4 linked regions of the Callithrix jacchus genome follow. The protein of the gene in region 3 interacts with the protein of the main gene of each other region in a pairwise test. Links are inferred from orthologs where the notes say so. Each region holds a gene or a part of one and is shown on either strand. Other genes may lie near its edges.

What was found.
Region 1: the proteins of GADD45G (region 3) and ARPC5L interact in binary tests that used the Homo sapiens proteins (3 or more experiments, as listed by UniProt). The link is inferred for Callithrix jacchus from reciprocal best matches to the Homo sapiens genes GADD45G and ARPC5L.
Region 2: the proteins of GADD45G (region 3) and LRIF1 interact in binary tests that used the Homo sapiens proteins (3 or more experiments, as listed by UniProt). The link is inferred for Callithrix jacchus from reciprocal best matches to the Homo sapiens genes GADD45G and LRIF1.
Region 4: the proteins of GADD45G (region 3) and TSNAX interact in binary tests that used the Homo sapiens proteins (3 or more experiments, as listed by UniProt). The two-hybrid records come from large-scale screens. The link is inferred for Callithrix jacchus from reciprocal best matches to the Homo sapiens genes GADD45G and TSNAX.

Annotation. Positions count from the first base shown.
Region 1 is NC_133502.1:173,461,335-173,468,635, reverse strand, and holds the start of ARPC5L (actin-related protein 2/3 complex subunit 5-like protein), read right to left. Parts: upstream 3,796-7,301; 5' UTR 3,715-3,795; coding exon 3,566-3,714; intron 1-3,565. UniProt on the Homo sapiens protein: May function as component of the Arp2/3 complex which is involved in regulation of actin polymerization and together with an activating nucleation-promoting factor (NPF) mediates the formation of branched actin networks.
Region 2 is NC_133508.1:148,886,660-148,893,892, forward strand, and holds the start of LRIF1 (ligand-dependent nuclear receptor-interacting factor 1), read right to left. Parts: upstream 3,796-7,233; 5' UTR 3,562-3,795; coding exon 3,494-3,561; coding exon of another isoform or gene 3,328-3,493; intron 1-3,327. Other genes in the region: uncharacterized protein LOC144577208, read left to right, coding at 3,328-3,545, 3,806-4,164. UniProt on the Homo sapiens protein: Together with SMCHD1, involved in chromosome X inactivation in females by promoting the compaction of heterochromatin.
Region 3 is NC_133502.1:73,439,964-73,446,531, forward strand, and holds GADD45G (growth arrest and DNA damage-inducible protein GADD45 gamma), read left to right. Parts: upstream 1-3,365; 5' UTR 3,366-3,475; coding exon 3,476-3,528; exon of another isoform or gene 3,529-3,795; coding exon 3,796-3,897; intron 3,898-4,033; coding exon 4,034-4,247; intron 4,248-4,335; coding exon 4,336-4,446; 3' UTR 4,447-4,923; downstream 4,924-6,568. UniProt on the Homo sapiens protein: Involved in the regulation of growth and apoptosis. Mediates activation of stress-responsive MTK1/MEKK4 MAPKKK.
Region 4 is NC_133520.1:53,368,795-53,376,216, reverse strand, and holds the start of TSNAX (translin-associated protein X), read left to right. Parts: upstream 1-3,627; 5' UTR 3,628-3,781; coding exon 3,782-3,797; intron 3,798-4,228; coding exon 4,229-4,333; intron 4,334-7,422.

The sequences.
Region 1 (7,301 bases), about 100 Mb from region 3:
TACCGGATCCTCACAGCAACCGTACATGTGAACTGGGGATTGTTCCCATTCTAAAAAAGGGAAAAGGAGACCTCCTAACTTTTCATCAATGCTCTTTATCAATTAAACTATAAAGGAAATTAAACTGTTCTAAAACTTCTAACAGCCATCGAGATCAGTGAGGTCCCAACTGTTTCCAGGAAAGAGTTTATCATCTAAAAGAAGCTTTTGCCAACAATGAACCAATCTCTACCCCTCCCCACAACCTCAGCTGCAGTCCTGACAATAAATTCTTTGCTGAGTTCTGAATACCCAGCATGCAAAAGAAAATTACAATCTGGGTTAGGTCCCCAAAGGTGACACCTATTTTAAACTAAATTACATCAGCCAACTTTCATTTCCTCATGTGAAACACTGGCTTCAGCCAAAAAGCTTCAAAAATAGAACAAGGAATGGCTTCTGCCCAATCGGGTCTCTACTCCTCTTCATGCAGTGATACCCACGTGCAGGCAGGAAGGGCCTTCGGAGCAGAGCTGAATCTCCTGGCTTCCCCAGTGTGAGCTCCATCTTGTGTGATCTGGGTCCAAGCCACCAGGCAAGCCACTCCCAGCCCTGGTTCCCCAGCTCCCTGCTTGGCTCTGATCCACCTTCCACACTCGAGAGGCGGCTGGGAGTGTCTTTCAGCTCTGGAGTTCCTTTTCCCCATCCAAACAAGGCCAGCCTGATATCAGCCACGGACAACCTCTACCTTGCAACTCTTTTCTAATGTGGTGTCCCCAAGCAAGAAGCAGGATCCCAGAGGCCGAACAGGAAACATAGGCTTGCTTGCTCTTCATGTAAACCTGGCACAACGGACAAACAAAATCATTCTGATGATGGATGGGGAAGGGCAGGGATAAAACTAGTCCACGGGGGCAGAAAGCCACTGCTGTGGAATTAACGCTCAGCACAGCGTGTCCAGCAATCACTCGGCCCATTGATGGGTGAGGGCCTTCAGCAGCTGGGAGATCTGGGGCGCAGGGAGGGCCTCCCTGAAATCACCTATCATTCCTGAAGCCAGTGCTCATACTTGGCTGGCTTTAGGCCCTTTGAGAGAACAAGCTGTGGTGCTGGCGGAACCCTGCCCAGCCCTTGGTCTCCTCTAGATCTTCCTCAATCACAGCACAACTGACACTGTGGACCCAGGATTCTCTGATGCGGGATCTTTGCTGCGTGTCATAGGCCTCTGCCTACTGGATTCCAGTGGCAAACCCAAGCTGAAACCATCAAAATGTATCGCTCAAAACCACTGCTCTAGACAGATCGCTGATCCAGAGGTCTAGAAGCGGCTTCACTGAGAAGGAAAGGAACTAATACTTTTAAATCGCCACAATGTCTCGGATCCTGTGCCAGGTGCTTTCACACGCCACCTCATTCCAAACTCCCTGTGACAATAATCATTACCTCATTTTAAAGGCAATGGAACTGAGGCTCAGAAAACGGAAACTACCTGCCCAAGGTCACAAAACTAAGCTATTTACACGGCCCTCACACCCAAGCTCTTCCCGCAATCCCGTGCCGCCAATCTATCTGCAGATCTGAGCATGTCTGGGACACTTGCTGTGTGCCCAGTGATGCTGTTAGCCCACGAGGCTCCCACGGAACCTAGGAAGCTAGCATGGCTGTCTGCCACATAACAGAGGAGGATGCTGAGTTGTGAGAGGGCATGTGACCTATCCGAGGTCACACAGTCAGAGCATGATAGTGCTGGGTGTGTGCCCATGCCTAGCAGGGTTCCTTCTACTCCATCTTCGTGATCTCCTGCCACACACACTTCCCTTTATAGCCCCAGGACAGGGCCCCTCTCTGCCCTTCCCCACCCCAATCCATCCACCCGTCTCTCTGCTCCCGTCCTCAGACATTCAGAAGTTCCTACTTTAAATTCAGTGGTCTAATGTAAGCCCAATTCTTGGCACATGATAGAGACTCAAATATGAGTTCCATTCTCCTCCCTACCTTGGCCCTGTATTTGAAAGGGTTTCAGTTCTCTTCATCTGCTAACCTCCCTTTCCTCAGCCCCAAGTGGAACACTCTCCTTGGTAACAAGGTTTCTGACGCTGCTATGAATGGAGAAACGACCATCCTGGGATGTGCCGAGCCCAGGCCTCTAAGCAGCCTCAAGGAACCTGTCACCAGGCAGGGGAGTCCCAAGACATGACCTTCAACAAGCCTCTGCACCCAGAGCAAAGCAGCAGCTGACAGGCGTGGTCTCCTCATCTGTTCAGTCAGGGTCCTTGGCCAAAGGCCTGACCTTGAAGCCCTTGCAGCACTGACTGTCATGAACCAGGACCTGAACCAGACTACAACCAACCTTCCCTTCTGGGGACCCTTCCCTTGACCCCATTTTACAGGTAGGGTAGACTGGAAGATCCTGATGGGGCAGGAACTACAAGCTGGAATCTCCACTTATGAAAACACAGTCCGGTTCAAACCAAGTCTGAAGGTTTTCGTTTTAAAGGCACACTGAGGAGCACTGCTGGGCTCCCCTCAAGCAGCAGGCCCCACTTTCCAAGCTGAGTCAAATGGCTCAACACCGAGAACGTGACTTATGTACAGCAGGGGCCTCCAACCCTGCCCCGGCCAGTGCAGGGGGAGGGGACACGCTTCCTGGAACAGCGTTTGAATAAAGACAAATCCTTCCGGTGAGAGAATAAGTCAGTTTCCTGCGCTCATGCTGCTAAGGGACCAAGCAAGGCTGTGACTATTACCTCTATTTTTAATCTTTTCTAAATGCTGTTTTCTGTGGCCACAGTAACAGTCATTTCCAGGCGTGGGGCTCCACTTTCACACTTCACTTTCAGGTGTCTGGTTTTCTTAGCTCTGAACTCTAGTTTTTTCTGCTGCTTCCTGAACCAGAAGGGTACCGAGGGGAGCCAAGACTACCTTGTTGAGCGTGGCTGAGACCACCAAGGTGTCCAGAGGAACCACAGGGTCCCCCTTTCTCAGCATTAGAGGGAGGATCAGACTGACTGGGGGAGGAGGAGCACCTGACCCCAGGGCTGAGCTACGGCGGCCGCCTCCACTCTCTCCTGGGTCCTGTCTTCCCCACCGCCGTCCACCCACCTATCTTCACGCCATGGGGCAGCCCAGTCACGGAAAGCCCCGGAGGACCGCGCCCCAGCCTCCCTGACCACTCGGTTACTCAGATGCGGCTCACCTCCGCCCTGCTGCCGACCCAGCCCCGCCACAAGCCCGATTTCCTGCAAGGGAGGGACGGGGGTGCTGGGGCTCCCAGGAAGGGACAGCAGGAGGGGATGAGGAGGCAACGGGGAAAGAGGGCGCAGGGCAGCCGAGGGAGGCGGTCCACCAGGTCCAGGGACCTGCGGGGCTGCGCTGCCGAGGAAGGCGCCAGGGCCGGGGATGAGGGACCCAGGGAGACCCGGACTCAGGGAAGCATGGCCTAGGGGAGCCGGGTTGGCAGGGAGTAGGAGGCCGACCCGTGGGAGCCAGGGGTAGGGGATAGAGGAGGTCCGCCCGGAAGGGGTCAGGAAGGTGGGCAAGGAGAAAGGCTGCGCGCAGGCCCGGCCGCTGCGCCAGGGAAGGATATTGCCGCAGAAGCCCGTCCACCTCGCTCGGGTCCGGGCCTGGCTCCGCTGCCGCCGCCGCCGCCTCCTCCTGCTCGTCCACAAATTTGTTCTCGTCAAATTCGTCTATGTCCACCCGGCGGAAGCGCGAGGACAGGGTGTTCCGGGCCATGGCGGGAGCTCGGCGCCCGCTCAGCCGGCTCCCCTCGCGGCCCGACCTCCGCTCCGCTCGCGCCGGCTCAGGCTCGGGGGCGGGAAGCGGCCGCCCGGCTCCTCCAGCACCTCCTCCACCGCCTACGCGCGTAGCCGCCGCCGCCCGCCCACTTCCGGCCCACGCCGGATCCGGAAGCGCTGTCAGGGGCGGGGCGGAGCTCGGCTCCTGAAGGGTGTTGGAGGGTCTCCGCGACCTTCCCAACCGCAGTGTACCTTCTGCCCTGCCTCAGTTTTCCCGCTGGGGAGCAGGCGTCCGGTATCCATGCAGGCCCTGCATCGTGTGCGCCGTAACTGCGCTCGTTCTCCGGGTTTCCCGCGCCTCCGAGGAGCCCCTGCCTCAGCAAGGCCCGGCGCGGGCTGCCGGGCTGAGATCTGCCCCGACTGGGGAACACTGAGCTCCTGGGAGAAGGCTCGCGGCTCTACTTCTCGAGTCCCGGACAAGCTTCTTGGAGAAGAAACCTTCGAGCTGATGTCTGAGGGATGAGTAGGAGTTCCTGGGCCCGGGAAGTGACCGGGAGGGGTCTGTGTCTCGGAGCCTTGAACGCCACCACACTTAGCCCGAGGAGGCCGCCTGTACACAAAAGTGACTCTGTTAAAGGAGTGGGAGACTTTAAAGACGTTTAGGGCCGGGCGCGGTGGCTCACGCCTGTAATCCCAACACTTTGGGAGGCCGAGGCGGGTGGATGAGGTCGGGAGTTCGAGATCAGCCTAACATGGAGAAACCCCACCTCTACTAAAAATAAAAAATTAGTCGGGCGTGGTGGCACATGCCTGTAATCCCAGCTACTTGGGATTCTGAGGCAGGAGAATCGCTTGAACCCGGGAAGCGGAGGTTGCACTGAGCCGAGATCGCGCTTTTGCACTCCAGCCTGGGCGACAAGAGCAAAACTCCGTCTCAAAAATAAACTAATAAAGACATTTAGTGTGTCCAGGGGACTGACAAGATGCTGAAGACGTTTTTGCCACCCTACGTGTGTAGCAGTCACCTTGGCCAGGCAGTTGGGGGTGGCCAGGAGAGGGAGATGGCCCTGTGGCCACCGTCCTGGCAGGAGAGGCCTGGCTGGAGAGAGATACCTTGATATACGCCAAATTCTCAGAATCTGAGTTCGGGGAAGGGGGTTAGGGAAGTCAGCGATGACTGAGGTGCCAGATTTGGTACCTGGACTGTTACCCCAGGGATTCTGTTAATTGATCTTAGCCTTAGGGTAAAATGGGTCTTTTTATATAATAGTATGAAAACTATTTTTGTCTAATAGTACTCTTTATAATAAAGGTCAGTAGTTGGAATGCGATTCATTTTTACTGCTTTGAATAATTCTCATTGAACTGTGTCTATAGATCAAAAAAATATTGCCAGACTATGATGCAACCTAATCTTGGGTGGTAAGGATACAGACTCCGATAGTGGGAAACTAGTGCTGAAGAAGTCTCCTCTGGTAATCCCAGCACTTTGGGAGGCCAAATTGGGCAGATCACCTGAGGTCAGAAGTTCGAGACCAGCCTGACCAACATGGTGAAACACCTTCTCTACTAAAAATACAAAAATTAGCTGGGCAAGATGGCGCTAACCTGTAGTCCCAGCTACTCAGGAGGCTGAGGCAGGAGAATCGCTTGAACCCAGGAAGCAGAGGTTGCAGCGAGCCAAAATTGTGCCACTGCACTTCAGCCTGGGCGACAAGAGCAAGACTCTGTCTTAAAAATGAAAAAAAAAAAGAGGTGTCCCTGAGGAGGTGATGCTGAAGAGAGACTGAAAGGAAATGAAGGAGGCAACTAAGCGAAGGCTCAGAGATTGGGGTGGGCTCAGTATATTCCAGAAACAGCCAGGAACTGAAGAAACATGAGATGGGGGTTGGGAAGAGGGTAGAGCTCTGTAGGCTGAGGAAAGGACTCAGTATTAATTCAAATGGGACAGCTCTGGAAATTCTGAGCAGAGCAGTGATATAATAATCAGATATCTGAATTGTTTGAAAAGGGCCTTCTAAGCAGCTGTATTGAGAACACATCTAGGATCAAGAACCAACGTAGGTGATTTAAATGGTGACACCAGCCGTCCTGGGGATAGACAGTGGTAGCCCAAGCCAGGTGGTGGGGGGCCAATGAGGACGGTGGGAACAAGTTGGGTAAATTTTGGTTTGAAACAGAGTTTTGCTCTTTCACCCAGGCTGGAGTGAAGTGGCACAGTCTTGGCTCACTGCAACTTCTGCCCCAAGGATTCAAGTGATTCTCCTGCCATAGCCATCTGAGTAGCTGTGATTATAGGCATACGGCACTATGCCCAGCTATTTTTTTTTTTTTTTTTTGTATTTTTAGTAGAGACAAGGTTTTGCCATGTTGGCAGGCTGGTCTCGAACTCCTGACCTCAGGTGATCCACCCACCTTGGCCTCCCAAAGTGATAGGATAATAGGCATGAACCACCGCACCTGACCTCCAGCTGGGTAAAATTTGAAGTTAGAGTACGCCGGCTTTGCTGGTTGACTATATGTGGTGTGTAAGAGAAAGAGTCACAAATGACTTGAGGTTCAAAAAAGATGTGCAGAGCCCTTAACACGATTATAAGCATTTGGAAAATATAAGAGCAAAGCCACCCTGCACCATTAGACTTTCATTTAAAACTAAGCCATGCTGACCAGGTGTGGTAGTTCACGCCTGCAATCCCAGCACTTTGGGTGGCTGCGACAGGCAGGTCACTTGAGGTCAGGAGTTCGAAACCAGCCTGGCTAACATGGTGAAACCTCATCTCTACTAAAAATACAAAAATTCAGGTTGGTGTAGTGGCAGACACCTGTAGCCCCAGCTACTCAGGAGGCCAAGGCAGGAGAGAATCTCTTGAACTGGGGAGGTGGAGGTTGCAGTTAGCCCAGATCGCACCACTGCATTCCAACCTGGGTGACAGCCAGAGTCCCTCTCAAAAAATAAAAAAGGCCGTATGCCAGGTGAGGCGGCTCATGCTTATAATCCCAGGCACTCTTGGAGGCCAAGGCAGGGCAGGCAGATCGCTTGAGCCCAGAGGACCAGCCTGGGCACCATCTCTACAAAAAACACAAATTAGCCAGGCCTGGTAGCATGTGCCTGTAGTTTCAGCTACTCAGGAGGCTGAGGTGGGAGGACTGCTTGAACCCAGGAGGTGGATGTTTCGGTGAGTGGAGATCACGTCCTCCAGCCAGGGTGACAGAGCGAGACCCTGTTTCAAAAGAAAGGCTGGGGGCCGGGCGCGGTGGCTCACACCTGTAATCCCAGCACTTTGGGAGGCCAAGGCGGGCGGATCGCCTGAGCTCAGGAGTTCAAGATCAGCCTGGGCAACATGGCAAAACCCCGTCTCTACTAAAAATACAAAAAATTAGCCAGGCGTGGTGGTGCATGCCTGTAATCCCAGCTACTCGGGAGGCTGTGGCAGGAGAATCGCTTGAACCCGGAAGGCAGAGGTTGCAGGGAGCCAAGATCGCGACACTGACTCCAGCTTGGCAGCCTAGGCGACAGAGCGAGACTCTCTCAAAAAAAAAAGACTGTAAATCTGTAAATGCTCTTTGCACCGCCACCTGCTGTCT
Region 2 (7,233 bases), on a different chromosome or scaffold from region 3:
ACACTGTACACAACAAAATGCATACTGAATTGACAATGAGGCATCATCATTCTAATCAAACCAAACCCCTGCTGAGAACACTTAAGTTTAGCTCCCCATTTGAATACAAGTGGTTATGTGAAGATAGCCACCTATGGCCAATCAAATGATATCTTAATTCTTATTACAGTGGAATATATAATCACAGGCTTTCATTATAGTACCTCTAAGGGGATGCTTCCCAAGTCTCTAGTCTCAGCTCTGACTTAGCCTGAGTTTCATATCCAAATATCTGACTGCTATCTTGATGTGTTCCTCATCTCAGTTAATTTACCAATAACCAGTCAGAAAACTGGCATCACAACTGACCCCCCTTTCTTCCTGCCAATTCACTGACAAAGTCGGTTTATCTTCCCTTCTGTATTTCTTTGAATCCAGTCCCTACTGTACTGCACCAGTTAGTGAACTTTTCAGAATTTCTGAAAAGACAACTGAAATAGAATCCCTTTGTGTTCATCACTCACCCTCAAATCCACACTGCTGTCAGTTATCTAAAATGCACACCTATGTCAGTCTTTTTCTTAAAATACTCTGAACAATTTCCAACAGATGAAGTCTAATCTCCCTAGCAGGGCAAACAGAACCTTTAAGAGCTATCTACCCATCCTGCTTGTACAGAATCAAGCAACAATTCAATCATTAGCAATAAACTATACAGATGCTTTATTTACCAGTATTCTACATAAGCATATCCTGCATTCATCTTTAACTGGATAGCTGATATTTATGTCTTCCAACTCAGCTGTTCCTGGAATCTTTCCTCCAACTCCCTTTGTTTACTCTCTGCCTTTACCACATCAACTCTACTTCTCTCCTCCTTCATCATGACTGTAAGGCTGGAAACAGCCCATATCCTATTATTTAATCAGTCTTCCCATTTAGCATAGTCTATAACATACATAGTAGGCACTAAATGAATGTTTTTTCATTCAAATGTTTAAACTATACTGATAAGTGGTAAGCTAGGATATGAACCCAAGTCTCTACAACTTCAAAGCTTCTTTCCACTGAAGCATTCTGACTCTTGCTTTGTTCTTTCACAACAAAACCCAAATCAAAATGAGTATCTTCCAGATTTTTCCTTTGTATGCTAAGATTAAATTTGGGTTTTACATTTTATACTCTGATGAATTACAGATACTTCAAAGAATACACAAATCTGTATTATGCTACTGAAAAATTTTGAATAAGCAGTAACAGGAAAACTTTAAAGCTACAAACAGTAAGAAAATCATAGTCATTTAAGTTATAAAAAGAAATGATTTACTACCATCAAACATGTTACAAGAAAAATAAGGAAACTAAGCTTCCAATAAACTCAAAGGGCTGATGTTAATCATATTTACAAAATTGTATTTCGATGTTTTGTTACTCACAAAACAGAATAAAATCAAATATGTAACCAAAAGTAAACGTTAACCAAAGTAAACGTCAACCAAAGTAAACGTCAAAGCTTCAGAAAGTCATCTGGTAAATGCCACAAATATATGATGTAAAACCTCAGTGATTTAAATAAATATATTCAAAGATAATAAAAACAATACATAAATCAATGAGTCAATGAACTCAAAATGACTTATGAATGTAATTTGTAAAAGTCTCCAAATCCCCAAAGGATTAGAAATACGGTAACAGACTTAAAAGTACACACACACAAAGTAAAGTTGATAGTACTTTTTATATTTAAAAATGCAATCCTAAAACAAATTTTCTATAAATTAAGCTAAGTCAGATGTCATTATTTACATACTAAAACAGAGCAGCAGAAATAATTATAAAAAGTAATTCTACTTTTGCATATCTACACAGTGCACTCTGTCACTTCCCCCAAACTTCGACCACAAAATTAAAAACACACGAGTATACCAAAATATGGCTCTTTTTATGATCGGAAATACAATGGTTCTTTCTTGACGTTCTTCAATAGAGTTTTAGCTCATTAATATTAGCAGCCATTTCCTTTTATATGACTGTGCATGCTTTTAAGGAGTCACCATTACTTATGTTCTTTATTGCAATTAAGTTTACTATCTACTTGTAATTAAAGAAACCTCCTAGGTCGGGAGCGGTGGCTCATGCCTGTAATCCCAGCACTTTGGGAGGCCGAGGCGGGTGGATCACGAGGTCAAGAGATTGAGACCATCCTGGTCAATATGGCGAAACTCCGTCTCTACTAAAAATACAAAAAATTAGCTGGGCATGGTGGCACATGCCTGTAATCCCAGCTACTCAGGAGGCTGAGGCAGGAGAATTGCCTGAACCCAGGAGGCGGAGGTTGCGGTGAGCAGAGATCGCGCCATTGCACTCCAGCCTGGGTAACAAAAGGGAAACTCCATCGCAAAAAAAAAAAAAAAAAAAAAAAAAAAGAAACCTCCTAGGCTAAAATCTGTACAGAGTTAGAGTTGTGCTTTTATAATAGTAACAGCTAACATTTAAATTGTGCTTTACTATTTTCCTACATATTTTACATATTTCATTCTCATCTTTAAAATACTTTTAGTGCTATTATTTACAGACTGGAAACAGGTACTTGGCCTCACAAATACTAACTGGCAAAGTTGAGATTAACCTCAGGTAGCCTGATTTTCTTCAAATGGAAATCTCCTTCTGTGAGTTTTGCGTCTTAGTTCTTCATTTTATTAGTCTGCAGACTATTTTTTTCCTCATCATCTATGATACATTCACCAACCATGTAAGAGTACAAGTGAAAACATTCTGCTTTAGCTAACATTGTTTCCATTGCATTTCCGCTTAATACAAATTTTAAAATAAACTAAGTTACTGATAATCTATTTTCTAATTTACAAGAATATTTTCCTTAGAAACACTGGACTCTCCTCCTGTCAAATATAAATAGCCAATAAATGGCTCTTCATTACACCCTACTTCTAAAACTCTATTCAAAAGGATTGATTTTACACGAGGATTTCTCCATTTTTATTTCTCTCTTCATATAAAACTATTTGAAATTTTAGATATTCAATCTCCTTGTTCTAAAGCCATCTTTCTTCAATCATACATCCTTTCTGTCTCACTATTAAAGGTAACTATTTTCACTGAAGGTCCAGCGCCACCAGGGCTGCACTTGCTAATCCGCGCTGACTGCTGCGTTTCTGCGTGTGCGCAAGAATCTTCCAGAAGGTTTGAGTCATATACAGGCGTCGGCCATCTTGCATTTCATCTCCCGTGGAGATCTACTCCGTCCGCCTAAGAAACTTGAGACGCTGGAGTCCCGCGGAGCCAGGGGAGGGGCTGTGTCAGGCTCTAAAGAGGTTTTACGTTTCCCAGAGGAAAGCGCTCTACTGGCTTTAAGTGCCGCGGTGGGGAGTGCTTCCCGCCTGAGTGGCGCACTCTGCGGGCTCCAAATCCTCTTAACTACACAGCGACGGCCGACTCCACATCCCTAAGACGGACAGAGGGGCGGGCATGGGAGGGATTCGAAACCGGTACTTACCAATGCGAGGCGTTGCCTGAATTTTCCTCTGCGGGTTTCAGGAAGACCCTCCGTAGGTTATTTGACATTTTAGTGGGGAGGAAGGGGACACCTCATCCAGGAAAGTGGGAAGTGTGGGGCCGAGTTTCTCAAAGGGGCGAGAACCAGAGCGAGGGAATGTTAGGCTGGAGTTGCCCGCAGCGATTCTGAGGGGTTTGACCTTAACGCAGGGCGACAGCGGGCTCTCGAGAGGGTGTATTCTCTGGCTTTGGAGAGAGGTGGCTCAGCCACCAGAAACCGGAAGGCTCCTGGCGTTTGTTTGCGTTCTCGCAGCCCTACCCTCGGAGAGAATCGGCGCGAGTCTCCGCCCTGCAGAGCTTACGACAATGCTCCAGAGCCAGCCGGAGCAGGCGCAGGGGGCGTGGTCTTTGTGGCACCGCCCCCAACAAGGCCGCGTCAGTGGTGACGACAGAGGCAGCCTGGCTGTGCCAGCCCCACCCACTGAAGCCGAAAGCCAAGGAAAGCTCTGTCGGGCGTCTTCCGGAGTCGTCACGTCCGGTTGCCAAGGTGACTGGTTCGCTAGAGTTCCACCCTTACGATGCAATCCAATGGCAAGTGATGTTTGCTATCTTTTCTTCCGGATCAAGCGACAAATCGCAAAAGAGAGCTCTCCGGACACCTACGCAAAATAAAATGTTTCCGGGGTCAATCATAAATTTTCTGCTTCTATGCTACCGCTAGTGTAAGTTTTTCTCTGCCGTCAGGGCATTAAAAAACATCGTCGGGCTTTTTTGTTATTATACACTTGTGGCCTGGGAAGACTTAAGACGCTTGCCTGTGGCCAGCGATTATTGTTGCTACTTCTCTGAAGGTTTCTCATTTACTACTCTTTCCTGAAGCTTTGCCTCTCGCTTATTGTCATATACATTCTGAAGCGAGCTCTACGAGGTGCATTACAATCTCTTTCGAAGATCTCTCCCTTTTCAAGGGAGTTCTTTACATCTTGATCACTGATTCTCTTTTGTTCTCAAACTGTCTGGTCTCGCTTAGTGGTTTTATTCATGCTCCTGGCTTGAATTACCACCTGCACCTATTATTTTACCTCCAAATGCATATATAATAGGATGTGCGTGGCACTGATTTTTTTACAAAATCAGTTTACTCCTAACGATTAATAGAATTATTATATACAGATGAAGAAACTGATGCTCAGAGAGGGTAAAAAACTTTTTAGAGGTCATATAGCTTGTGAGTGATGGAGCCAGGCTCCAAATCCAGGTTGTCTGGCTGAACATTCCATATACTTACCTACTCTGTTATGCTACTGTGTGACTCATAAATTTATGTTCCCAGTTCTGATTTCTCTGGGATCTATAACTGGATGTTCAAGTGAAGTGTTGAGATCTCCTTTTTGATATTTTAAAAGTCCCTTCAAATGAAACATGTTCAAAACCACACTTAGGACTTTCTTCTCCTCTCCCCACTACACATTTTCCTTTATCAGTGCTATCTCTAGAAAGAAAGAAAAAAAACTTCCCTCTATTAAAGATGCCAAAATCCCAGTGTCATCCTTAACACATTCCTCTTTTTATTCCAAAATATATAATTCGTCACCAACTTTTGCAGATTTTATCTTCTACATATCTTACAAGTCTGCTTTTTATTTCTGTTACTCCTACTATGGAGCAAACTTACTTTGTCTAGTGAAGCTTTAACTGAAAGCCTCATATCCACTCTTGTATTCCTCTAAATGCTGCAGCCAGAGCTGCCTTATGGAAACACTAATCTGATGGTATCATCTCGCTACATTAAAAACAATTAGTTTCCCACATTGCTCTTATGATAAGGATGAAAATCCTTGATTTTTTTTTTTTTTTTTTTTTGGAGACAGGGTCTCACTCTCACTCTTTCACCCCAGGCTGGAGTGCAGTGACGTGATTTCAGCTCAGTGCCACCTCCAACTTCCTGGATTCAAGCAATTCTCATGCCTCAGCCTCCCGAGTAGCTGTGATTACAGGCATGCACCACCATGTCTGGCTCATTTTTTTTTTGTATTTTTAATAGAGACAGGGTTTACCCATTTTGGCCAGGCTAATCTCTTAACTCCTGACCTCAAATGATCTACCCGCCTCACCTTCCCCAAATGCTGGGATTACAGGCATGAGCCACTGCACCCAGCTAAAATCCTTGATTCTAATCAAGATGTTGAACTAGTATAGACTGCTGACATCTGGAGAAATAAAAAAAGAGAAGTTTAGATTTTAGGAATTAACAACAACAACCACCACCACCACCAAAAAAAAAAAGCTGTTGTGAAAATTTCAATCTGTAGGAAACTTTCAGAACTGGTGTGTGTGTGTGTGTGTGTGTGTGTGTGTGTGTAGAGTATTACAGGCTAAAGCCAAGGGCCACCATGGGCAGAAGAGGGTGAAGGAAATTATTTTAAGTTTTCTCTTGCATCAGGTATTATCATTAACCACCTTTGAAAATAAACCTGTAGCAATAGCCAAGCTCCTGATATAAACAGGATAAAGTCAAGGTAGGAAAAACGCATGCTAAGGTGAGCCACTGATGAAAGTAGATGCAGGATTACCTGCCAATGTTGGGAATTCACTACTCCATCCCCTCCAGAAAACTGCCCTGGCTGGTACATTATAAATAGGTAACTTGATTTTTATCAATGTGGTCTTGCAGTACAGTTTATAACTCATACCAGGGAAATTGCCTTTTGGAGTGGAAACTAATTGGAATGATCAGCAGTGGTTCTTTGAATTCCTCAGGATATATGTCTTTTCTTCTAAATTCATTGGGCTTCAGACTGAGGCTTAAATATCTTTCTTTTTACTTTTTTTTTTTTTTTTTTTGAGACGGAGTCTTACCCTTTTACCCATGCTGGAGTGCAATGTTGCAATCTTGGCTCACTGCAACCTCCTCCTCCCAGGTTCAGATGATTCTCCTGCCTCAGCCTCCAGAGTAGCTGAGATTACAGGTGCCCACCACCACCCCCAGCTAATTTTTGTATTTTTAGTAGAGATGGGGTTTCACCATGTTGGCCAGGCTAGTCTTGAACTCTTGACCTCATGATCCACCCACCTCAGCCTCCCAAAGTGTTGGAATTACCAGTGTGAGCCACTGCACCCGGCCTACAATTTTTTTTTTCAGGCAGAGCCTTGCTCTGTGGCCCAGGCAGGAATGCAGTGGCACAATCTTTGCCACTTAGGTGACATCTTGGTTATCAGATCTACTATCATGGTATCACAATGTTTATGATCAAGTAACCCTTATTTTACTTAAAAATGGCTCAAAGTACAGGAGTAGTGATGCTGGCATACCATTCTATTTGTATTATTAGTTGTTGTTATTAATCTCTGTTCCTATGTTAGTTTTCTGAGGATAATGGCTTCCAGCTCCATTAATGTCCCTGCAAATGACATGATCTTGTTCCTTTTTATGGCTGTATAGTATTTCATGGGGTATATGTATCACATTTTCTTTATCTAGTCTATCATTGATGGGCATTTGGGTTAATTCAACATCTTTGCTATTGTGAATAGTTCCAGTCTGTTTTTTAAATGGATTTTTCCAGGTATAACAATTTTCTATCCTCTTGTTTTAGATACTGCTTTATTATTAACTGTTTCTCCCATACTATTGTATGTTTTTCCTATAATATATGCCTTTGTCTTTTCTTTCTCCTTTTACTTTCTTACATTGGATAGATAAGTTTTTTCCACAGCTCAAAAAGTTTTACATTCCATTTT
Region 3 (6,568 bases):
AGACCCCTGCTGAAGGTTACCAAGGTGGGGAGGGGACTCTAGGCACATGATGGCCAAATCTTCCCATTTTCCAACAGAAGCTAGAAATCCAGGTGTTTATATGAATGCAGCTAACTTGGAAAGGTGGCAGTGAATTTGACTTTGCCTAAGATACCTCATAGGCCAAAGAAATCCTACCCGCAGTCTGCATGGGGCTAGTGTGCGGCTAGCTTGCATCCCACAGCCTCTGGCGGAGCTGTAGTGGCTTCTGGCACATTGCTTGGATAGGATAAGGGCATATGCCTGCTAGTTAATGACATATAAGTAACTTGTGAAAATACAGTAAGAAATGTCTCATAAAGCTTAGTGCTTAAAGCTCACCCTCCTTCTGTACCCAAATGAAAGTTATCAGCCCATCAATGACCTAGTTAAGCCATGAAAGAGTGACAAGCACATTCCAGATAATGTGTTAATAAAAACATTTCAACTATAAACATTTCCAAAAAGGTTTTAAAACAGAGCACCTCTGAGGATTTCCCTTTAAGTAAGTCACCATCATCTGCATTATAGAGGCTTAGGGGAAGGTTTAGGGGTGCAGTCACAGGAACTCAGGACATCTCAGCCACCTGTGACTTGAAGCACAGAGCAGGCCAAGTCCCTTGCTGCGTGCAGTTTGGGAGAGCTGTGGCCACAAAGCTGTGTAGTGGGACAGTCTGCATCATCAAACTTCTAGTGAGCATTGCCTGCTCCCCAACAGGGGGGCATCCCAGGCCCAGAAGCTTCAGCATGTGTCTGAACTGAAGGTTGGTGGTGGGTCTGCTGGAAGGCCAACTTTGCCTGCAGACAAAATGGTTCTTCTCTAATTGAGATGGGGGCTTTGGGGCCATTGGGACTGACCTAATAAAGCAAAGTGAGGCTGTATCATAAGTCGAAAAGGCAGTTTCCTGAAATTGAATACCTTAAAAATGTGAGCAGAGTAGAACAGCCCCAGGGGTTGTCAATCATCCCTCTTGGTCCAGGCTGGCTCAGGAGGGACGGGAAATGCACCCACCCCCAACCCAAATCCAGGAGTATCCAGTAGTGGCTTTCCTCTGGGACGAGGGGCTGAGGCGTCAGGTCTAGCCCTTGTTTTCTCTTGCCTGGCATGTGGGCAGAGTTCTAGTGTTATGAATTGGAGGGGTGGGGTGCCAGCATGTTAAGTAAATCTTATTTCCAGCATTGCCTGGGGACCTGGAACTAATACATTTAAGAATCTTCCCATTTTCCTGGGAACAGAGGTACATATTAAACTATGTTTAATAGTTGTAAGAGTAATACCTGTATTCTAATCACTTAAAATTAACATATTTTATCTAATCAAGGCATGTAGTCATTTTATACACCAAGAAAGAAAGAAAAAAAATTAGCGAAGAAACGTAGCAAAATGCCGCCTGTCCCCGCTCCCCCTTACTCCCGCCCCAACTCGCCGTCCTTACGAGACACCTTCTGGAGTTCAGAAACGCTACAGCAAGCTCTTGCTTTTTAAAATCCTGGAAGCGAGGGGCTTTTGCAGCTCTCCTCCGCGGGGAAGCCGCTGGGAGGCGCAAGAAGCCAGCTTCTCACTTTGGCAAAAGTGCCTGCCCCCAAGCGCAGAATGAAAACTTCCCCGCAAGTTCAGAAGTACTTTGTACATTAACCACCCACCTGAGAAAGCCTGAATGAAAGGAACAAAGCCTCGCCGTTGTTTACTTTCCCATTATCGCCCTAGTCTTGCTGCAGGGCCAGGGTTTCCATCGAATCCGCCCGGCCCGCCATTCTCCCAGCCAGTTTCCCAGGCCTCACCCCAAAAAGGGGAGCAATGAGGTGACCCCTGGAGCGCCCATCCACGTAGCTCAGAAAGGTACAGACACCAAAAGTGCTGCGCTCAGTGGGTGAACCCTCTGAAAGTGCCAGCGTGTATGGTCAAGCGACAGCAACCTCTAGCCTGTTAAACTCTCCCAAGATTTCTTCCAGACTTACTCTATTGCCGGAAAAAAAAGAATTTTTACATATGCGTATTTAAGTAATTAAAGTATTTCAGCACAGCGTAAGACAAACAGGCTCTTACTCCATCAGCACTGGATGGGAATCTCCTTTCGCCCTCTACTCCCCGCAGTTACTTTGGATGCGATTTGCGGCCCTTAATCGGGTTCCTGTTAATGTTGGACAGGGCTCAGTGGGCCTGGCCGGGCAGCTCCGTGTCCGCCCCCCACCCACCGCTCTTCTCCCGCGCCAGGCCAACGGAAGGGTGTGTGTGTTGGGGAGAGGGGAGGAGAAAAGGGGTTTTAGGATCTTTCGAGCTTGCCTGTAGATGGCGCCCCGGGAAAGAGATTCTGGCCGCGGGGTTCCGGCCAGAGGGCGTCCAGCCTTGTAGACCGCGCACCAGCTCCCAGTCCTTCCCAACTAGCGCGACTGCTGGGCACCCGTGCGAGAAACGGGTGGAAGGGAATTACATGTAGCAGGGCCAATACGGGGGCGCGCACTCAGGGACCACGGAGTGGCACGCAGCCTCGACCCCACGCGCCGGGCAGCCCGGCGACCCCCACGCGCGGCGGGGGCCTGCCCGCCCCACCAGGCAGCAGGTGGACAGTGTTGCTATGAAGAGAAAGCCTGGATTGTCCCTACTGCAAACCGCCACACGCCAGACCTCTGCTATTGTGCGCCCTCCATAGAAATGCAAACGAGCGGCGTGCGCCGGCCGCAATCTGCTCGCCCCCGCCCGCCCCCCTCTCCGGCGCCCAGCGGTGCTCGGCCAAGGGCGGGGAGGTGGGGTAGGAGCTTCCAGCGACAACTCAATGTATACATTGAGTGTGCGTGGGAGGCATCGTCGGCGCTCTCCGGACGCTAGTGGTCAGCTGCAAGGGGCTGTGCCCACTGCCTTTTGCAAGCCCCTAACTGGCACTGCTTTTACCTTAATTTCCGGCTCCAATGCAACAGTTTCATAAACTTCAAATTAAAGGAAAGAAACAAATAGAAAGGTAGCAATAAAAATAAATGCCAAAAAAATTCCTTTTGATTCTATAAAGGTGCTTTTCGCAAATTGCAGCAACCTATTAGCAAACAAGGTTTTTGTGGGTTGGTTTTTTTTTTTTTTTTCTTTTTCCTTTTAAGGACTTCAAAAAAAAAAAAAAAAAGGCGAGATGAAATCTGCAGGCTCTAGTCTGCCTGGTAACACCCCAACAAAAGCGGCAGATTTGAGGCATTGTCATCCCCCGCACCCCTCCCCACGTGGCCTTCTGGCACGAGCCGCCGGCCCGCCGCCTCATTTACATCAGAAAGCGGGTGCCGGCCAATAGGCGCACAGCCTCGCGCCAGCTGGCGGCGCAGCACCCTCCAGCCTATATAAGGGCGCGCGGCGTAGCAGGGGCGCAGTCGCTAGTGGTAGATGAGCCGAGCCGAGATCTAACTCACCGTGTGTTCTCCCGTGCCCCCTCCGCGCTCTCCGCTTGTGGATAACTTGCTGCTGGTCGATCGCGCTATGACTCTGGAAGAAGTCCGTGGCCAGGACACAGTTCCGGAAAGCACAGCCAGGTGGGTCTCAGGGCTGGGAGAAAGCGGCTGGTCGGTCGGCGGCCTTCAGGGCCCTCCAGGGTGGGAGTAGGAGCCTGGGGTATCGGCGTAGGAGCCGAGCGCTGGGGTATCGGCGGCAGATCCAGGTTGGAGAGGTTGGGTGCGGGCGCCGAGCCGGGTCTGGAGTGTAGTTGGAGTGCCACGGGTGCGTCCGGGTGCGTCCGGGTGACCGGGGCTGGGGGCTCCTACCCCGACCGGCTCCGGCTCACTGTGCTGGCTCCTCCGCAGGATGCAGGGTGCCGGGAAAGCGCTGCACGAGTTGCTGCTGTCGGCCCAGCGCCAGGGCTGCCTCACTGCCGGCGTCTACGAGTCAGCCAAAGTCCTGAACGTGTAAGTGTAGACACTGCCAAGGCTGGGATACCGGGGCGGGGGTGAATGACTAGGAGACGGGCGGATGGGAGGGGTGGCGGCGGGAGACCTCTGCTCGCGGTTTCTGACCTTGGTCCCCACCTTGCTGCCCTCGCAGGGACCCCGACAATGTGACCTTCTGTGTGCTGGCTGCGGATGAGGAGGACGAGGGCGACATCGCGCTGCAGATCCATTTTACGCTGATCCAGGCGTTCTGCTGCGAGAACGACATCGACATCGTGCGCGTGGGCGATGTGCAGCGGCTGGCGGCTATCGTGGGCGCCGGCGAGGAGGCGGGCGCGCCGGGCGACCTGCACTGCATCCTCATTTCGGTGAGTAGAGTCCCGTCCCGTCCCCGCCCGGGTGTCGTTCCCGCCTCGGCCGGCTGCCAGCCAGGCTGACCCTGCTCTCTCTCCGCAGAACCCCAATGAGGACGCCTGGAAGGACCCCGCTTTGGAGAAGCTCAGCCTGTTTTGCGAGGAGAGCCGCAGCGTTAACGACTGGGTGCCCAGCATCACCCTCCCCGAGTGACGGCCCGGTGGGGACCTTGGTCTGATCGACGTGGTGACGCCCCGGGGCGCCTAGAGCGCGGCTGGCTCTGTGGAGGGGCCCTCGGAGGGTGCCCGAGTGCGGCGTGGAGACTGGCAGGCGGGGGGGGGCGCCTGGAGAGCGAGGAGGTGCGGCCTCCCGAGGAGGGGCCCAGCAGCGGCTGGGCCAGGCTGGCCCGAGCTGAGGACTCTGCAAGTGCATGGAGCGGGCTGCTCGCCCAGGAAGGCCTAGGCTGGGACGTTGGCTGCAGGGCCGGGAAGGACAGACTGGCCGGGCAGGCGTGACTCAGCAGCCTGCGCTCGCAGGAAGGAGCGGCGCCCTGGACTTGGTACAGTTGCAGGAGCGTGAAGGACTTAGCCGACTGCGCTGCTTTTTCAAAAACGGATCCGGGCAATGCTTCGTTTTCTAAAGGATGCTGCTGTTGAAGCTTTGAATTTACAATAAACTCTTTGAAACAAACTTATGCTCTTTATTGAGGGTAGGGGATCTTTGTGTCGGGGGAGGTGGTGAGCAGGGTTTCAGAGGATTGCTGGAACTTCGTGGAACTAATGGCACCTGTTCCGTCTTCCTGTCGGCAAGAATGACAGGCTCGTCGGCGCTGGCAGAGGAAGGGCATGCTGCCCACTGCTAGGGTAGAGCTTGGGCCCAGCTCCTACTTTTCTCCTTTTAGGTAGATTCTAAACTTGCAAAACAGGAGCGTATTTTAGATAAGACATCAGTGCAGCAACTAAAGCCTCGCCTTCCAAAGCGATAACAGTGACCTCTGCCTCCCCTCCCCCTCCCTCGGTCCCCCTCCCCCTCCCTCCCACAGCTGCTTATCTGAACAGCTTGCTGGAGGCCGCAGGCTTTCCTGCACAATGAGCATTGCCTTCTGCAGACCCTGCCCTTTGTGGTCCCTGAGGACGGTGGCAGGCTGCTCCTGCTCTTGGGGACTTTTTCCTGTTAAATGCTCTGACACAAAGCAATGCTACAAAGGTATTAATACCAAATATGACATTGATGACTGCATTTAAGTATGAGTCATTACTTTGTCGTGGCTGTGATAGAACTTGGAAGATCTGAGAAAAAATTGGAAGGCAGCATCTATATAAATAGGCATGAGCAATTCTGAGGGGGCCTGGCATCTGCCATCTACTATTTTGAATGTCCTCTGCCCACATCTGAGTTATAAGGATTGCTGCTATTCACAATTCCACTTAAAGACTCACAGGAAAGAAAAAATGAAATATTTTACGCCAAGACTTTCTTTAGAAGGATCTAGGGGCAAATCTCCTGATGGAATCAATCTTTTTGTTAGACCAATATGACTTGAGTTCATTCCGTGCCTGACTAGCCGCTTTCAGCAGGAGAAATACATGTGGGCTGTTGTGCTGTCAGCTCGGCTGCCAAGCAGGCTGAGCCTTCTGGGCAAAGGAGGTGTGGTGTGCCGTCTTCACTCCTTGGGGTGGCTGATTTACCTCATGAAGTGCCGCTGCCTCAAATTCTCTCCAAATTAGGAGCATTCTTGAGGTAGCAGGAAAACTTGACTGAATTACTTTTCTTGTAATGAAAGTATCCATGTATCAGCTCTTAAAAGCATCTACTCCTCAATGAGACGGAAGCCCAGATAAAAAACTCAGTTGTGTTTGTGCCCAATTTTCATTACTATTTTACCTATTTGCTGCTTGAATCTCAAAGTTTTCTTATTGAGGTAGAGTCTTGGGCTGGGCCTGTCTAACAGTCTGTATTCTGGCAAAATGACCAGAACATGCCATTATAAACACAAAGTGGACATGATTAAAATGGACCCTTAAATTAGTAAATTCAGCAGAACATTGCGCAGAGCAGGTAGGCAGACCCTCCTGCTGGCCAAGCGACCCTTGTAGAACATGAGGTTGGCAGCCCTTGGCTTTTTGATCAGAGCTTGCTGTGAGGCCACTTGTTGGAGTCTCAAGGGCTAGGAGAATTTGCAGGGGAAGAAATGCATGGTGGGACACAGCGCCGTGCCCAAAAGTGCTAAACTTTTTTTTTTTTTTTCGGATGAACAGGTGTTTAATGCTATTAACATGAACTAATACAGAGAGCAGATAATAAAATATCCAGTGTTTACAAACATGTAATTGCA
Region 4 (7,422 bases), on a different chromosome or scaffold from region 3:
AACTCTTTGAGGAACTGCCAAATTGTCTTCTAGAGTGGGTGTACCATTTTACATTCCTACCAGCAATTGATCAGGGCTCCAATTTCTTCATATCCTCACCAATTATTGTTTTCTGTCTTCCTTTTAAATATAGTCATCCTAGGGGATTTGAAGTGACATCTCGTTATGGTTTTTATCCATCATTCTTTACTTCTTCAATACCAGCTTCCCTCTCCTGTTATAAAACTAGAACATCCTTTTCTCCTACTACATCCTAGTATTGCTTGAAAAATAAAGCTGTTAATTTATTTACAATAAAGGTAATATGTACACTTCACAAAACTACTTTGGACCCCATAGATATCTTTTAAATATTATGGTTATCTTTTAAAGAACAGAAACTCTAGATTCTTACAATTCTCCATGATCTCTCCTATCCCAGGATTTAGTTATTTATGTAATAACTAAATAAGGGAAATGCTGAAACAGAGAATCTCTTAATTATCTTCTTCTCTTTATGTGAATATATGATTTTTTTTTTTGAGATGTTGTCTCACTGTCGCCCAACTGGAGTGCAGTGGCACAATCTTGGCTCACTGCAACCTCCGCCTCCCAGGTTCAAGCAATTCTCCTGCCTCAGACTCACAAGTAGCTGGGACTACAGGCCCACCAGGTGCCACCACACCCGGCTAATTTTTTTGTTTTTATTTTTAGTAGAGATGGGGTTTCACAGTGTTAGCCAGGATGGTCTCGATCTCCTGACCTTGTGATCTACCCGCCTTGGCCTCCCAAAGTGCTGGGATTACCAGAGTGAGCCACTGTGCCCGGCTATGATTTTCTTTCAATATCCAAAACCAGTTTTTGAGGTTAAGTCTTGCTCTGTGGCCCAGGCTGGAGGTCAGTGGCACAGTGTCGGCTTACTGCAACCTCTGCCTCCTGGGTTTAAGCAATTCTCCTGCCTCAGCCTCTGGCGATTACAGGTGCATGCCACCATGCTCAGGCCATTTTTGTACTTTTTAGTAGATACAGCGTTTCACCATGTTAGCCAGGCTGGTCTTGAACTCCTGACCTCAAATGATCCACCTGCCTTGGCTTCTCAAACCAGTTTAGATATGTGATTTTAATCTAAGGGTGACCAATGAGAGGATTTATGAACTGAGTAACAACAGTGCAATTGAAAGGCTTAGTGCTTTATTCAGAGTCAAATACAGGCAATTAGAATGCAACAGGAGGCCAGGCACAGTGGCTCACTGTAATCCCAGCACTTTGGGAAGCCTAGGCAGGTGGATCACTTGCCCAGGATTTTGAGACTAGCCTGGGCAACATGGCGAATCCCCATTGTCTCCACAAAATACAGAAAACAAAAAAATAGCCTGGCTTAGTAGCATGCCGCCATAGTCAGAGGATCACTTGAGCCCGGGGAGTCGAGGCTGTAGTGAGGGAGCCATGTACTTCGTACTGGGTGACAGAGTGAAACCGTATCTTGGAAAAAAAAAAAAAAAATAGCAACAGTAACAAGTAAAAACAACATCAGAGGTGAAATCTTACTAAAAATCTTTACCTTCCTCTCCCTGAGTTGGGGTGGTAGTCTTCCTTTAAAAAACAAACCAAAAACCATTTGCCAAGTACCAAAACTATGTGTTTGAATCTGAAGCAATAAAACAAGGAGACAGAGAAGGGATGCAGGTTGCTACGGACGTTGAAATCTATTTCCCGAGGAAGGAGTAGCTACGAGTTGGGACACCTGGGGGAGCCTGGGGTAAACGCATATGCAAATAAGTGCTGGGAAAGTGATCCTGGGATTCACCTCCCTTAAATACTTTCAGAAGTCTTTATAGGTTGTGAAACTTAGTGTTCTAATCATTACAATTATGGTAAAGAGTGGAAAGCAGTTCAGGTAACATAGCTGTAGTTGAACAGGCTAGGGGAGTAGTGGCTGGAGAAAGAAAAGAAATATAGTTGATTCCGGTTTTGGAAAGTTGAGATCTTGCTATTCCAGGAGAGTTAAAAAAAATACCCCTTTCTCCGACTATGATACAGTAAAGTAAGAATTGACTCTGAAAGTGTTCATAAGTACTGGCTTCCTTGATCTAGAGGGAGTCACATTAAAATGGCTAAATTTGTATCAGAGCTGCCTTATTTTTTTTTTTTTTGCATGGTCAAGTGATTTCTAATCAGAGTAGGGGGAATACCGGTAGATCAGACGTCACTCAAACTCATGAGAATTATCTGTTCAACATCCGCAAAGCAAGTAGTCCAACAAGCAGGGGCCCCAGGAGCCTACTTTATCCTCAAGGAATCTGTTCAGTTAATTCATGTATTCACAGAGCTGCAGAGGTATGAGTGGTGGTGACCTTCCTGCCACAGCAGACTGTGCCTTGTAGTTACTGCCATATTCTAGCCAAGTTATTTCATTTACTGTTCCTTTGTTCCTAAATTACAAGAAGAAAAGACTGTGTGTACAACACATGACTACAATATACAGATTATTTGGAGAAAGCTTAAAATGTACTTGTGTTTTCTCTACTAGGCCTAGGGCACCCCACTTACCAAACCTTGGCCTGAGTTTCTCTCTAGGGGGTGCTGAACTGCCACCTACTTACCCATCCTGATGCCAGAAACATGATTCTTCAAGAAACATTGATAGAGGCTTACAAGGCGCAGGATCACAGCGCTGAGAAGCACTGGGGCTAGGGTGGGCACAAAGTCTAGATATGACACAGTACCTGCCCATAATGAAAGGCCCACAGTTTAGTGGAACACACCTGCTTTTACCTTTCTCTCTGTCGTATTGTCTGAGAGAGCCCTGATGGAAGAGGAGTACGGCATCTAATATTTAATTGAGCATTTATATGTGAAAGAACGTCTTCACGAGCCTTAACTCCTTTCATCCTCAAATAACCCTATTAGGCGGGTACTATTCTATCCCTATGTTACAGATAAGGAAACTGAGGCACAGAGGTTGCTTACTTCATCAAGGTCGCCCAACCACTCTGTGGAGGCAAACTGAACACAGGCTGTTTGGCTTCTGCGAGCCAGTGGGGAGGAGGGTACAGAGGTCGGTGGAGAAGGGAGAAGGTGGGAGACGGGCAGGGGAAAAGGTGGGAAGAGACTCGAAGGGCAGGCCTTCACGAGAGAAAACAGTACTAGCACCATCCACTGAATGACTCGCATATCTCCATCCCTTAAAGCGCCTGGGAAAGTTAAAATAAACTCCTAGCTCTGTAAATTTCTGCCTGGATCCTGAAAAGACCTTCCCAGATGCCCCGAGGAACTCGAGGGCTCGCTTCTTTCTCACACCTCTGGCTGGGGCTCCAGAGGGCCCGCTCCCGCGGACGAACTACAACCCCTACGATGCACCGCGCGCGAAGTTGGGCCCCCGCTGAGGGAAGGGTAAGTGTCCCGAAGGTGCCTTCAGAAAATAATTACGAACGTTTTTGTCGCTTTCCCACGATCACACAGATCTCAGCTCCAGGAGGTCGCATCGTCTTTTTATTAATAGTGCATGCCGTGAGGTGTGTAGAGTCGCTTTTGTGTCTTCAGGCACAGCAGAGGGCGGCCGCGAAAGCACGCGCGCGCGGGGTCCCCCGACCACGCGGGGGGCGGAGCCAGAGGCGGTGGGACCCCGGACGCAGGCCGGAAGTAGGCGAGGGGCTACTTCCGGCCACTGAGTAGTAGTCGGCCAGGCTGCAAAGGGCGCCTCCGCTAGCTGTTTTTCTGGGTTCGGTCGGCCTGCACTTTGCGCCGTCCTCTCGCTCCAGGTCCTTCAGTCTCCGCTTGTCTCACTGTAGGCTGTGACGACATGAGCAACAAAGAAGGTGGCGTCCTCAACAACATGGGGCGTTATTTATCCAGAGGGGGAGGTTCTCCAATCTTTTTAGGCGATTTTCCCCTTTTCACCCTTGGAGGATGCCTTCGTCCCTTGCAGACTCGGGGACGGCAGCCCTGGTTCTCTCCCCGGCCGGATTGTCCCTGTTTACACCTCCCTTTTTGTTAAATCTTCGAGGTGTAATTTTATGCTAGTTCAGTAATTACTGTAATGCCAGACCAAAGCACCACTTGGTGGAGGCTTGGATGGTTTGCTTGGAAAGGCCTGGGCAGCATCTCTCTCAGTCTGCGGAGAAAGCCTCTTAAGTCGAGGGCCCTGTGGGTATCTGGTTTTAAAGGGAGGTGGAGGTTTGCCGACGTTCTGTTTTGCAAACTCTTGGTGATGGAAGATTTCTCTAACTTTTTTTCTTCTCCACATAAGGATCAGGAGGGTTCAGGAAAAGGAAGCATGACAATTTCCCACATAACCAAAGAAGAGAAGGGAAGGATGTTAATTCATCTTCACCCGTGATGTTGGCCTTTAAATGTAAGTTCTCTGCAATGTAAGTAGGTGAAAGGGAGAGAACAAAATTATTTAGCCATGGTTATGCGCAAGAAAACAGTCCCTAAGAATTACATGTGAAAATTTAGCTGGAGGTTTTGTGATGGTGCTAGATCTACCCTAAAAATCTGGATTCCAAAGGCCTTCACTTTTATGTCCCATTAAGAGAAATACTAATATTAGTAATCAGGTAAGCATGACTTAAAACACAAGAAACATTAAACATTAGCTAATATTAGACATGCCACATACTCAAGAATTGTGTACCTGATATTTACTCATGTGTTATATGCTGGAATATATTTTCATTTAGTTTATATTTGTTTCCTCTACTAGACTTGAAGATAGAGACGGTATCTTTGTTTTAACTGTAACACTTTGCACAGAATGGGAGCTTGTTATCTATTAGTAAATCTTGTACATCTATATACATATATTTTCACAGTCCCCTTTTGTCAGCGTATTAACTTGGACAAGTTATTCCTCATTTCACAACAAAACAAAATCTCCTTTTGTCCCCTTTTATCCATTATTCTATATCTTATATTTCTGTGATTAAGGAATCTGGGAAGGGCTTAGCTGGTTAATAATTCCAAATGGCAATCTCCTGAAACCTTGATTCTGAAACCTAGATTGAGGTGGAAGGATCCACAGCTGTTGACCGTTTGGGCCTTTTGTGTGCAACTGGCTCTCTGTTTCTGTCCACATGGACTTCTTGTGCTGCTTACGTGCCCTTGGGTGTAGCATCTGGCATCCTTCGGACAGAGAGAATGTGCAAGAGTGCAAGGAGGAAACCATAATCTCATTATGTCCTAATCTCAGACATCAGACACTGTCATTTTTGTCACATTGTATTTGTTAGAAGGGAGGCAGTTAACTGCCTCACTTCCTCAGACAAAAATGGAAAAACTAACAAACAAAAACCAACAACAACAAAAAAACCTGCCTCACATTGAAGGGGAAGGAAATTATATCCCACCCTTTGGAGGGAGGAGTCTCAAGTGATTTGTGGATATATTTTAAAACTACCATAGTATCTACTGTGATCTTCAGAAATTTAAGACATCTGGCTGTAATTGAATAAAGGGCATAGTGATACAGAAGGTGTGGAGTTGCTTCTAAATTGGTGTCCTCATTACCCATCTGCTGAACTAAATTTTCTTTTCTTTCTTTTTTTTTTGTTTTTGAGACAGAGTCTCCCTCTGTCACACAGGCTGGAGTGCAGTGGCATGATCTCAGCTCACTGCAAAACCTCTGCCTCCTGGGCTCAAGCCGTTCTCCTTCCTCAGCCTCCTGAGTGGCTGGGACTGCAGGTGTGTGCCCCCATGCCTGGCTAATGTTTTAAAAATATTTTGTAGAGACAGGGTTTTGCCATGTTGCCCAGGCTGGTCTTAAACTGCCAGCTCAAGCAACCCTCCCGCCTCGGCCTCCCAAAGTGCTGAGATTACAGGTGTGAGCCACTGCGCCTGGCCTGAACGACAATTTTCTTTAAGACTTAGCTCAAGTTGATTCTTTCCTGTGAACACATTCTGATTTTTCTCTCAAGCCGAATTGGTGACTAACATTATGAAATTTTTATTGAGCATCTGCTGTGTTCTAGCATGTATTAGTAGTGAACAAGAAACGTGGTGTCTGCTTTCCCAAACCTTTTACATATATTTGTTATAGCATGATTACATTTTATTTGTTTACATCTCTATCCCTTATACAGGCCTGAGTTTCTTGAGGATAGGAACTGTACCTTATTTTGTGTTGATAGTATCCGACTTACAGTGGTCATTAATACAGCCATAATAAATAATGAATACATATTGATTATCTTGAAATATTAGGCAAAATCCTGGCCTAATTATTATCTCAGTAATAAAAGACCAGATATATTTAGGTCCTTGTCAACTACTAATTTAGTTAATAGTTTAAATAAGTTCTTGTTTTTTTCTGGTTCATGTAGTATACCTGATTTGGTGGGTGTTTCCTATGGGCCAGGCAACTTTTGGGGCTGTGAAGTGAAAAGACTTCTGAAATAAGGCATAAGAGAGTTAAGCGGTTAAAGGGTATTTCAGTGTACAGAGCTTGATAAGTTCAGAAACTTTACACTTGAAATTTGCTAAATAGACAGGTCTTACATGTTTTTACCACAATTAGCTGGGCATGATGGCGTGCGCCTAGCTGCTCCGGACGGGCTGGGGCAGGAGGACTATTTGAACCTAGAAGTTTGAGGCGGCAGTGCACTCTAGCCTGGGCAACAGAGACCCTGACTCAAAAAAAAAAAAGAGGCTAACTGTGTGAGGTAATGGATATGTTAATTAACTTGATAGTGGTAATCATTTCACAGTATATATCAAAGTGTCACAGTGTTTATTATATATATATACACACACACACACACACACACACACAGGTATTTTGGTTTTTTTTTGGAGATAGCACCTTACTTTGGCCCGGGCTGAAGTGCAGTGGCACGATCTTCATTCACTGCAACCATAGCCTCTTGGGCTCAGGTGATCCTCCCACTGCAGCCTCCCCAGTAGCTGGGACTACAGGCATGTGCCACCATGCATGGCTAATTTTTAAATATTTTCTAGAGACAGGGTCTCACTATGTTGCCCTTGTAGGTCTTAAACTTCTGGGCTCAATCAGTGCATCCCCGTTGGCTTCTCAAAGTGCTGGGATTACGGGCATGAGCAACCATGCACAGCCTTAGAATTTTTAACTGTCAATTATACCCCAGTAAAGGTGGAAAAGAAGGCAGGAAGTCAAAACAGGGGGAAAAAAATTAATAAATTTGAAAAAAAGTATAAATTTCTTTTTTTGGAGATATTTATATTATTATATGTGGTTAAAGTAACTTTTAAAACTTTAACTTTTTGTTATATAAAATTAATTTTTGTTTAATTACATAAAAGTAATTATGTATCACTTTGTGATAATCTCTTGTTTACTAAGTTCCTTTTTTTACAACTTGTACAGTATTCCCATTGTGAGACTGAGCAGTAAAACCCAGTTAAATCATACCTGTATTTAAACAGGAAAATATTTTAGTTACTCGAAGAGCCTTTTTGATTTCCATGTAA